2 linked regions of the Arabidopsis thaliana genome follow. The protein of the gene in region 1 interacts with the protein of each later gene in a pairwise test. Each region holds a gene or a part of one and is shown on either strand. Other genes may lie near its edges.

Region 1 (6,535 bases):
CACAACTTCACGGTCACGAATCACGATTACATAAACTCCACAACTTCACGATCACGAATCACGATTACATAAACTCCACAACTTGACGATCACATAGAGTTTGCTTCCTCTCCAACACAATTTCAATATTGATTTTTTCACAACAATTTCTACAATTTTAACTCAATTCTTGTTTAATATTCTTTTTGCAATGTATTTCGAGCGTTAGTGAACTTGTAAAATTGTTTGTTATCAGTTATTACATTTTTTAAGATTTATTTTTTTTTGCTATAGAATTTGTAATTTGAATACCCTTGTTCTTGTTGTAATTCTTGTATTTAATATTCTTTTTGCAATGTAATTTTTGAGCGTTAGTAAACTTGTTATTCTTCGTCAGACCCCGAGAATAAAGTTTTAGTGTTACCTGGTAAAATGAGGTCTCCAACACTTTCTTAAACATTTTGAGAGAAAATAAATAGATAAAAGTGGATCATCATCACGATGCAGAATCTAGATGCTCACCTCTCGTCAATTATGTTCCAACTTTGGTTCAAATCCAACAAGGTTCTTTGAAGAAGGTAGAAGGTACTGGAGGTAGTGATTTATAATGATCATTATATTCAGCAACGAAGGGTAAGTAAGTAATATGTTTGCTCTCACATTCTTTCGTGGTACACACGGTTCAGATAAACAAATTTATTTGATTCTTAAATTATTAATTTAAGATGAACAAATTTTAAGGTAAACCTATATTATTTTTTTTACACAAATGCAGAAAAGAAAAACACTTCTTTGTTTCTGTCATTAATTCCCTCCCTCTATATATATATATTTAAATCTATTATGACAAAACAATCCAATACTGGATACTTTTTACAACAACATGCACAGACAAAGCTGAGATCTCACCTTAAGAAACTAATGAGATTGAGTTATGTTCGTCTTCATCAGACGAAGAGGTTGAAGACGACGACGAAGAAGAAGAAGATTGTCTTCGTCCAACGAGTCCAGGAAGAGGTTGTGGCATCATTGGATTCACTGGAACAGGAAACTTATGAGCAGAACTAACCATTGTTCTTTCGTTTATCATCCCTACTTCTTTGCAAACTCTGTCTACTACTCCAAGGAAGTCTCTAACCACCAAGAATATTCTAAACGGATGCGCTTCTTCTTTAGCCGAGTTTCCATGGAAATACTCTGTGATTTCTTTTACAAGTGATAACGCTACGCTCTCTTGAGCTTGTACTCTGATGATCTCTTCCTCAGCTCTTTTCAGAAACGTTTTCATCGATTCCGAAAACCTCTGACTGTTGCTTTCTTCTGTGATTGTTGATTGGACTTGGATTGCTTCGTTGATCTTGGCAATGCCTTGAGAAAGCTTGGAGACGTAGCTGCTTAGTACTTCTGAGTCCATCGCAGCAGCTTTCTTGACGTTACTAAGCTCAGAACAGAGACTTGATACAACTTGGAGACCTAGTTTCCGGCATTTAATGTCATCTGTTTGTGTATTGTTACCTGAGAGACGTGTGCCTTCTGCTCGGATTATCTCTTGTACAACGAAATGCAAGAGAGTTGTTTTCCCATCAGCGCCTTTGACATCGACTAGCTTGAGAAGTGTATCAAGCTTGAACGCATGTGCATCTCCTCGGTTTGTTCCAACGTTCATACGGTTTCCTGTCTTTAGAACCGCTTCAAGAAGCTTTAAGAACATCCTACTGTTCCTCAGTTCTTCACAAGCAGCCTACACAAACAATAGAAATGAAGTCATAATCTGTTACAATACAACCATATGGTAAAAAGAGAGAGAATAGCTTGTAATATATACCTCAAGAGTCTCAAAAGATTTCTTCAAGTATTCAACCTCGGACTCAAAGTTGGCTACATAGAGCATTGCATCAACTCTTTTAAAGGCGAAAGGGATGTCCAACATTGCCTTAAGGAATTTCTCAGCATGTCCAAGCTTAACAGGCGAATCATCATTGTACGCTTTCAACTTGCGCTCTTCTTCTTTTGTCGGTGCCATCTTCAGTAAGCTCTCAAGAAGTTCAGTCCCCAGTGTATCAGCATTGCCTGAAAAAGCATAACTAAGAACATCAATGTAACCAAGAATCTCCACACCATCAAAGAAGCAAAGCTTTCAGAATAACTCAACCATATCATCGAAAAACCATTAACAAATGCATAAGAACTCTAATTCTGGAGATCAAAGGAGAAGAAAATGAGAAACTATGTATGTGACAGCATAGTTTACCTTCAAGAAGAGCCTCACAAACTTCTTCTATAGTGACATTAAGTGCACGAAGCAAGATGGCAATATTCTGAGCCTTCTTCGGGTCCAGGACTCTGTTCTCTTGGTTCGGGCTCGGGAGAACACATCTTGGAGTTGTCTGACTCTGATTTGGTTTGTTGTTTAACGACTTCGCCACAAACAACGTCTCAATCATCTCCTCATCTAATCTGCAAACCACATTCATAATCTCAACAACCACATTCTCACTAAAAGCATATAGTATCATATAAACGAGTATGTCACATTAACTCACTTGAAAGAGCTTGATCGAAGATGATCCCAAACCATCTCACGATCCGAACTTGCTCTAACTTTATCCCAATGTAACGCCTTTAGCTTCGGTTTCGGAGTTTCCTCCGCCGCCTCACTCGCACAAACCGTCTCTGGAGTCTCCATAGGAGACGAAGTCACTGGTAAGTTTTCAGATGGGATCACAAAAGGATGTGAAGGCGGTGTAAGAGAAGGCGGTCTCGAGATTGTGTCCGCTTTAGTAGTCACCTGACTCCGTCGTCCCCACAACGGCAACGGTGGGGGAGGAGGAGGAGGCGGAGGCACACGAGACTGTAAAATTTGAGGTGAAATGTTCGATATCCGTGGTGATACATCTAAGCTATGACTAAAATCTCTATCCGGAGAAGATGATAGAGACTGCGAATTCCGGGAAGATAACTTAGGAGATGTAACTGGTGACTTATGAGAAGCTTTCTCCGGTGAAGAACAAACAGAAGAAGAAGACGACGACGGTGAACGAGAACGTAATGCATCTAACTGCTTAAGGAAACCTTGTCCTCCATGAGAGTTAGAAGGAGAAGATAGTAACTGAGATTGCAAACCTTGCCGGAGATTACTCATAAACGCCGGTAAGACCTCCGGAGATTTCTGAAAACATCTATACGGTGATGTAGAAGCAGAAGAATGCGACGGAGATCTCAAGTAAGCTTCTGGTGTATCATTTGGTCGTCGTTCCGGTGAAGTTGAAGTAGATGATAATGGAGAGTTCTCTTTTTTGTTATTCTCCGGTGAAGTTGTTAGAGATGTAACCGTCGGAGATCTAAAGATTTGATTCAATCCTACTTCATCGGAGTTTTTCAATCCCGACGATAAAGAAGCTAACGACAGTGACGGAGACCGAACAAATCTATAATCGGTTAACTCCGCCGGTTCTGGTGTGGAGATAACCGGCGGTTTTGGTTCAGATCTCTTAGGACTCATTGAAGGAGAGATACTGATAAATGTTGATCTTCCTGGTGAACCAGAGCTTGAAGATGAGCAAGAGATAGTGTCATTGTTAACAGATCTAGGATTTTGACCCGGAAGTCCGACCCGGTTTAACGGTTCTCGCCCGCTTTGTGAGCCACGTGGAGAGTAAAACTCATCTTCTTCATCTTCTTCTCCGATTGAACCAACATCTGGATTTAAACGGAAACTTCGTTTCATCAATGGAGGAAGTGGTTGAAGATCTGGAGATTCAAGTTTTCTTGAGCTTGATCCATTATTACTAAGAGATTGTTCATCGATTCCTCTTTGATTCACCATTGTTCCTAAGTAAAGAAACTCAGAGCTGTTGTTATTGGTGGAGCTCGTGGTGGTCCTCTGTTTACTTCTAGCCTCCGCATTGCGTCGTGTTGGAGGCGCCGTTGCCGGAGGAGGAGGGTAGACACGGCGGCTACTGTCGGTGGTGTATGTTTTGCTATCATCGGAGAAGTTAAGATCTTGGTTACGTTTGCTTCTTCGCCAATAGAGTAAAGCGATAAGTAGAGCGACTAAAGCAGCGGAGGAAACGGCGGAGATAGCGACGATAAGGAGTTTTTTGGAGTTAGGTGGGGATTTAGTGGCGTGAGGGACGATTAGAGATGAGATATTCGCCGGAAAAGAAGCGAAGGAGGCTGGAGAAGGTGGTGGTGGAGATGAAGGGTATAAAGGGAAGAAAGGAGAAGCATTTGGGTCTGATGAAGATGGAGGAGTGGTTGAAGAGAATGGTAGTTTAGGAAGTGGTGGTGGTGATGGTGGTGACGGTGGTGGTGAATCTATAGGGAAGAATGGTTCGTGGAGTACACGACGGTCGGCGAAGACTAGATCGGAGGATGAAGATAAGAGTAAGTAGAAGAAGAATAAGAAGAAGAGCATTGTGTTATCTTCTTCTTTCTTCTTCAAGAGTTCAAGATCTGAGAAAAGAGAAGAGAGAAACTTTTTGAATAGAGTGATGAATCCAGCTAAGATTCTGCTGGTGATGGTTTGATAATTTTGTTTTTGGTTTGTTCTCTTAACTCAGTGATGGTGAGAGAGTAGTAGAGAGAGTAGAGAGAAAGCCAAAAGAGGTGATGGAAGAAGAGTGGTTGATTCTTAATTTTATTTTTACGTAGTGGGGTCCATTTCAGACAGTAACATATGAGATTATAACACGTAGGATAAGACGTGGACTTTGTAATAGTCCGCAGAAGTGTACACACTGAAAGTAAACACTGTTCATTGAATTGCACCGTACGCACAATGTTGAAAATAAAAATGCGAGTGGATTTTTATTTTATTAAAAAGTTATTACGGCGGTTTGACGACGTCTGTAATAAAGAAAACATAAAATAATGGTGTGTTAATGTTTGAGGAGGAGGAAGTGGTAGTGGGTGTATTGTGCTGAGTTCTTTACTTTATTTTGACCGACACTGTCTCAGGATGTGTAAATGGTCGGTTCATGTGCTTTCGCCGAATGCTGTATGTACAAAGCGTAAAATTGGAGGACAGGTCTAACTGGTGTAGATAATAAGGAGGAATTAGGACATATGATGAGAAACTTATACAGTAGCATCGTTTGATAAAATATCGATCGTTGCAAATAGTTAAGTTAACCATAAACTTTTAAATGGCTACATCATGGTTCATGCAATAACCATATCTCTAAATGCGTCCCTTAAATCTTCTTAATAAGCCAGTTATACTTCCTGCGTCTTATGCAAATGTCGACTGTGTGAATCCTCTTTCTGTTTTGGGGCAACAAACATTAGACCACAACATGGTTTTGTTTGTTTTTGTTGGATTTTGCAATCATAAAAATGGCACTAGAAATTGATGGTATTGAATATGACAGAAATACTGAATTTACCAGGACTAGGACTGCAAAATTTATCAAATTTAAAGCAAATAATGTCTGATTCTTGTAAAATTTGTGGGCCTGTGAATGTTAAGAAAAACTATAAAGTGAACTATTAATAGTTCATATAAAAGTTCAAATAAAAAGAGGTGCTAGAAAACCATAATTGGACTAAGAAAGGGAGTAAAATAATTGGTCACGTGGGAAAGCTACTGAAAATGTAAGAGTACAAGAGTATCAGGAAACCACCGACACACAAAATTGAACTTTATACTTTTATATGCAAAAATACCTTATAAGTAGTCTCATCGTTTTATTTTTAAAATTTATATAGTGTTTCAAAAAAAAGAAAATCATTGCGGATGGATGAGTAGTTGTTTTACGTTTGTGGATGAGTTTTTATTTTACACCATAGCGGATGGTTATAGAAGAACCTCTAAAACTATCTCCATTGGTAGTATCTCATAAGAATTTTTCATAGTTAAAAAAATAAAAATAATAAAAGTAAAAGAGAGATTGTAGAAAGTTTCTCGCTTCAGAAACTTTGAGATACTTTTTACGATCCATCATGACAATTTTCTTTTTACTATTGGTTTAATTTTTTAACAAAAATATTTTTTTAATCAAATAATCAAATTATAATATAATATTAATATTTTTTTGTTTGAGAAACTTTATGGATTTCTCGTGGATGAAAATGCCCTAAATATTTAGTTGAAATTGTAAGAGTGATGAATCATATATATGAAAGTTGGTCAACTCTCTTCATATGAGTGATCATACAAGAAAATGACATGTGTCATTCTACATTAATTAAATAAACAAATTAGTAAAATTAATTGAGGAAAAATTAAAAGTTTTTTGTTGTGTTACATTTTCTATTAATCTCACTCTTAAAGTGAATTTTCTAAAAACATTCAATAAATAAAAAATCATAATAATGTATCAAGTACTACTTTCATTCTATTTTACTTATTTTTTAAAAAAAATTTATCAATAGTTATTAATCCATAATGGCTAACATTTACGTGTGTTGTAGTTTAGATGTTTGCTATCTAACCTCATATTAATTTAGTAATTTTAGTTGGATATTTTCTTATTATTACGTTTTATGTGAATCTTATTTATCATATGACCTTCTTTATGTTTATTTTTGTGCGGTCTGATAACTTGATAACATT
Region 2 (5,317 bases), on another chromosome or scaffold:
AGAAAACGATGAAGCTAAATCTAGAGAGGGATGAAGAAAACAAACCCAGTTGAATCTTCGCATGACTCTTGTGAATTCAAAGCTAAACAGAGAGGAAAAAACGGAGAGGTTTTTGATTTTGAGAGTTAAACCCTTAGACCATTTCCATGATAAATTCCAAACAAACATAAATCAAAAATATTAAAATAATAATTTTTTAATCAGTTTTTTTTAGAATATTTTCTGAAATGAGAAACTTGGAGAAATTTTATCTCTCTTCCAAATGTCATCTTGTCATTAATTTCTTTTCTTTGTTATAAATAAAATCATTTATATTTTATAACATCAATTAAATACTTTATATGTTTATTTTTTTTTTTTTTTTTACTTTTAAAATTCATAAAATTAAATTATCTATATAACAAGCTCTATTATATATATGTTTAAATTATATACGAATATTATTTAATTGGTGTTAGTTAAGCATTAAACATAATAATAACTTATAAATACAATAGTTTTTTTTTAATTAGAAAACAAACATTTAAAATTTTCTATTTTTATTTTACAACATTTTTGGCAATCGAATTCGACTTCGTGATAGAGATATGCACCAACAACTAAAAGATGACCTAGTTGAGCATATATGACAAAAGTTTGGTGCATTATCAAATGAAGAGTAAAACCATAATAGATAATATAGTTAGTTTTGATTTATGTTATCATGGTTTTATATGTAATTTCTGTGTAATTTATATATTTTTTCTATTTAATTTATGTTATCATGGTTTTATATGGAATTTTATGTTTAATTGATATATTTTTTATTATGATTTTATATGTAAAGTAATGTTTAATTATGTTTAATTATGTTTAATTATGGTTTTAAAAATAATAAAACTATTTAATAATATAATTGTAAAAATAATAATTGATATGTTTGAAAATATTGTAGAGATTTTAAATTTAATATAAAAAACATATAATAATATGTTAATGTTAATGAGATACTCATAAGAGTATTTCACCAATGGAAGCACAATTTTAGTATAAGTTTCTCTACTTAAATTAAAATATTAATAATATATTATGAGGTACTCATGGAGTATCTCACCAATGGAGATGCTCTTACGCATATGCTGACGAGAGACGAGAGAAGAGACGTTCGCTAAATCTTTTGCTTTCTCGCCACTACGTCCAGAGTCTCTCTCTGGTTCAGAAGACTCGAAATGGGTTAAACACGTATTCTCTCATTCTCCGTAGTTAATTAATTTAGTGAAACGGTAAAAACAAAATGGTAAAAAATTGGCGGTCGTTATTTTGTAGCGGTAAAGAAAATAGTGAGTTAGACTATTTACAAGTTAACTGTTTGAATTAAAAGTTGAAAGTGATTTGGAAAAAGATGTTGTAGAATTTCTTCAACACCGTTAATTTTGTGAATAAAATCCTTGTACACATATAGTCTTAGAAAATTTGGAAAAAGGTTTGATAAATGTAACTTAGATGCTGCTTGGATTATAAAAAGTAAGCTTTATGGATACGGACTTGAGTTCCCAAGATCATTTAGGTTCAATCTGATTTTGAGGTTTATATAAGAAGCTTCATTTAAACCGTTGAGTGTTTGAGCTATATGAAACTTCAAAAAAATGTCATTCGTTTAAATACCATCAAGAAGAATGTGAATCAACTTTTCTTTTTGGATGAAAACTAGTTTTTTGATATGGTAACTATGTTTTCAACACAACAAAATTTTATCGTCGAATGTCCGAAATGATAAAGACACTCTTAACCTTCATCGGAAAAAATAGCAATTTTTTGTGGTATATCAATAGCGGTTACAATCTAACTTGTTTTGTTGTTGTTATTATGATTAGAACTGTCAATTGGGTGGACCGCATGTGGGTTTTTACAGTCCAAATACACACGGACGGATTATGGTCTGGACTCCAAACTAAAAAACATAAACCAAGCAATCAAAAAGTTAGAATAAGATATTTTTTAGTTAAAACAAAAATCGTAAGTGAAGAAGGTCTGAATTTCTTGAGGAAGATAAACGGGCACAAAACCGGTGTACATACATGGATTATGGATATGTTCTAGAGGAAAGGTATAATTGAATACTAGTATCCGTTACAGAAACTAATTGCATTAAGTTTCGTCTACTGTTTAAGACCGCACGAGATATATATGTTAGACCGACTTTGGGAAAGAGGCTACTTAAATTATTTACGATTAATAATGCCAACGTAACGCGGACAGACATTTTAATTCAATTATTATTTGTTGCCTGCGAGATTCGAACCATCTCTTATTTCATTACTTAACCCAAACCAAAAAAATAAAAAGTTCATTTCGAAAGAAGAAGAAGAAAACATCAAATCATGAGTGGGCAAGAGAATCATGATCATGGCCGGATCTCTTCTACGCCCGCCGCCGCGTCGGAGCCTTCCAAGGCTGCTGCTCACTCCTCTGACTACGCTCCTTACCCTAAGCTCGATCCTACCGACGTCACTCCTCCTCCTCCTCAGCCTATTCCCACCGGTGCCGCCGCAACCACCATGCCAGCGGAATCCAATCCTTACGTTTCTCCTTCCCCTGCCCCAAGGAGTGAGTTCTTCTTCTCTCTATCCGATTTCGCATCCTAATCCAATTTCTGCCTTTGATTGATTGATTGATCTTGGTTTGGGGACAGATACGATGGATTCGGTGAAGGATACGTTAGGGAAATGGGGGAAAATGGCTGCCGACGCCACCAAGAAGGCGGAGGATCTCGCCGGAAATTTTTGGCAGCACTGTAAGCGCTTCTTCTTCTTCTTCTTCTTCCCCCTCGATTAGATGAATTACCAATTAATCTGATTACCGTCTCTTGGAGAATACGATGGTATTGGTTATGCCCCTTCTGGTTAAGTTAGTGTTCATCAATTGGCGCTTCTTCGGAATTTTACTTCGCGTTCAACCACCGACACTAAATCTAGCCAACAATTTTGATATTCATGCTCTTCCGTTTGAGTTTAAGCCAATTAGTTCTTTGTATCTGGTTATTGCCTTTGACTCTTGAAGCTTCTCTAGTATAGGTTGTTTTGGCTTTATTTCTCCGCTTGTGTGATGAATTAGTATTATATACATATGGTTGGAGGGAGGGATGATATTTTATATGAATTGAGACTTGAGAGTATACGTTTTGATATCTATCCTTTCTTTTTCAGTGAAAACAGGCCCAAGTGTAGCAGATGCTGCTGTTTCACGAATTGCTCAGGGGACAAAAATACTTGCAGAGGGTGGATACGAGAAGGTCTTCAAGCAAACATTTGATTGCCTTCCTGATGAAAAACTTCTCAAGACCTATGCTTGCTACTTGTCTACATCTGCTGGTCCTGTCCTGGGAGTTATGTATCTTTCGACTCACAAGCTTGCGTTCTCTAGTGACAATCCTCTCTCTTACAAAGAGGGTGAGCAGACCCTGTGGAGCTATTACAAGGTATACTCGCTCTCTATCCTATGGTTACTTTTTCTTTCTAACTCTTTTATTTTATATCTATTTACATCTAAGAAAACTATTTGAGAACAAAGATTCAGCGAATGTAATATTTGATGGTGACATGATAAAGCGTTAAGTGAGTTAAGTCATTTTCAATGCATCTATTTACATAGATTCATAGACTATAACAAATTTTCTTGTCATTTCTAGTTATTGACGTATAGAACGTAGTGTGTGTACGCTTATAGTAAATGGAAACTACATAATCATTCTAACGATATTGTTGAGTAGTTGCATGTTAGTTCCTATGTAGACAATTAGGACTTTAGTGGTTTGCCTAAGAGAGTAAGCTAAATCTTGTAGCATTCTTGATAAAACTAGGGGAGCCATTGAATAATTGTTAGTTTGAGAGTTTGGACTGGTTCTAATGTAAACATCTAACATGAGCTGAAATCCTATTAAACCAAGCAGAAAGCTTCTTGACAACATGATCTTTGGAAAACTGATTTTAAGATTTGGGTGGTTCTTGAGAACCTTTTTTCGTTCCTTGAGAACCTTGCACTTGCAGTCTATTTTCTGTCATTCTTCCTTGTAAAGTCTGTGGCTGATGATTTTGATGTGATGATCAGGTGGTACTTCCGGCGAATCAGCTGAAGGCAGTGAACCCATCAACAAGTAGAGTGAACACATCTGATAAATACATACAAGTGATTTCCATCGACAACCACGAGTTCTGGTTTATGGGGTTTGTGACTTATGAAAGCGCTGTGAAGAGCCTTCAAGAAGCGGTGCAGTCACATGGTCCGTGAAGGTCCACTGGTATAAATGGCAGCTCTTAGTGATATTGTGCATTAATATATGGAACAGTGTGTTTTAGTATTTGATACCATTTCAATGTGTTCTACATTTTGTCCTCTTGGCGTTTACTCATAAACATTGCTTTTGTTCATTTCCTTTTGTATAAAATTATTTCTTATTTTTTTTGAGGGAACCTTGTCCTTTAGATCTAACATTCATGATTTGTATTCGTGTTCTAAGTTGGATTCGGTCTTTGGTTTTTGATGAGTTTAGGATTTTAAAGGTGATCAAGTTGGGCGCTATAGACAAAACCAGCATTTAGAAAGCCCAATATATCACCGATGGGCCTTTGAAAAGAGCCCAAATCGATAATAAGCATGCATGGGAGAATTGGTGACACGGGCTCATTACAACACTTTCATCATAGAAGATCCTATGTTTAATGTGTTTAAAACAAATCTGGTATGAGTTTTGGAAGATAGTAACATTGAGTATATATGTGGAAACAAATCTAAATGGTGGGGTTTGTGCAATCGCCTAAATTGTTTTTTACTTGCATTCGTTATATGCAAATATCTAAATGATTAAAACCAAAACCAAAAATATCTAATATGATATATTAAAATATTAAGCTTCATTGTATCATTCTTACGAAGTGACCAACTTTAGAAGTTAGCGAATTGTCTGTCATTAAGCCTATTGCTCCTTGTCGTCTTATTCTTTGCTCACCAACGAGCTACGTCCTTTGAATTTCTTATTAAAGTTGTTAGCATATAAACTATGACTAGTGCCCATCAAATTTGAAGATTTAGCATTTGGACTCTTCTTGTGTTAACTGAACATGGTCAGTCTTACAATATCTATATATTCAATGGTTATCGAGTGATTGTGTCATGAAATGTTAATATAGTTGGATCTTTTAAAAAAAAATGTAAATATAGTTGAACCATATACATCCGTTGAAAACAACAACAGCAAAAACTGATAGCTCTGAACCATCTTTGTAAGAGTGTGTTTGCGACTACGGGAGTCTTGATATCAAACCGAAACCACCCTATATAT

The links.
Region 2: the proteins of AFH1 (region 1) and FIP1 interact in a two-hybrid assay, tested with the Arabidopsis thaliana proteins (one study listed by BioGRID).

What each region holds. Positions count from the first base shown.
Region 1 is NC_003074.8:9,250,431-9,256,965, forward strand, and holds AFH1 (formin homology 1), read right to left. Parts: upstream 4,654-6,535; 5' UTR 4,397-4,653; coding exon 2,523-4,396; intron 2,437-2,522; coding exon 2,231-2,436; intron 2,050-2,230; coding exon 1,805-2,049; intron 1,721-1,804; coding exon 890-1,720; 3' UTR 663-889; downstream 1-662. UniProt on the Arabidopsis thaliana protein: Might be involved in the organization and polarity of the actin cytoskeleton. Involved in polar pollen cell growth process by maintaining tip-focused cell membrane expansion for the polar extension of pollen tubes.
Region 2 is NC_003070.9:9,849,344-9,854,660, reverse strand, and holds FIP1 (FH interacting protein 1), read left to right. Parts: upstream 1-2,211; 5' UTR 2,212-2,360; coding exon 2,361-2,586; intron 2,587-2,671; coding exon 2,672-2,773; intron 2,774-3,185; coding exon 3,186-3,457; intron 3,458-4,086; coding exon 4,087-4,266; 3' UTR 4,267-4,276; exon of another isoform or gene 4,277-4,528; 3' UTR 4,529-4,817; downstream 4,818-5,317. Other genes in the region: ATJ1 (DNAJ heat shock family protein), read right to left, coding at 46-63.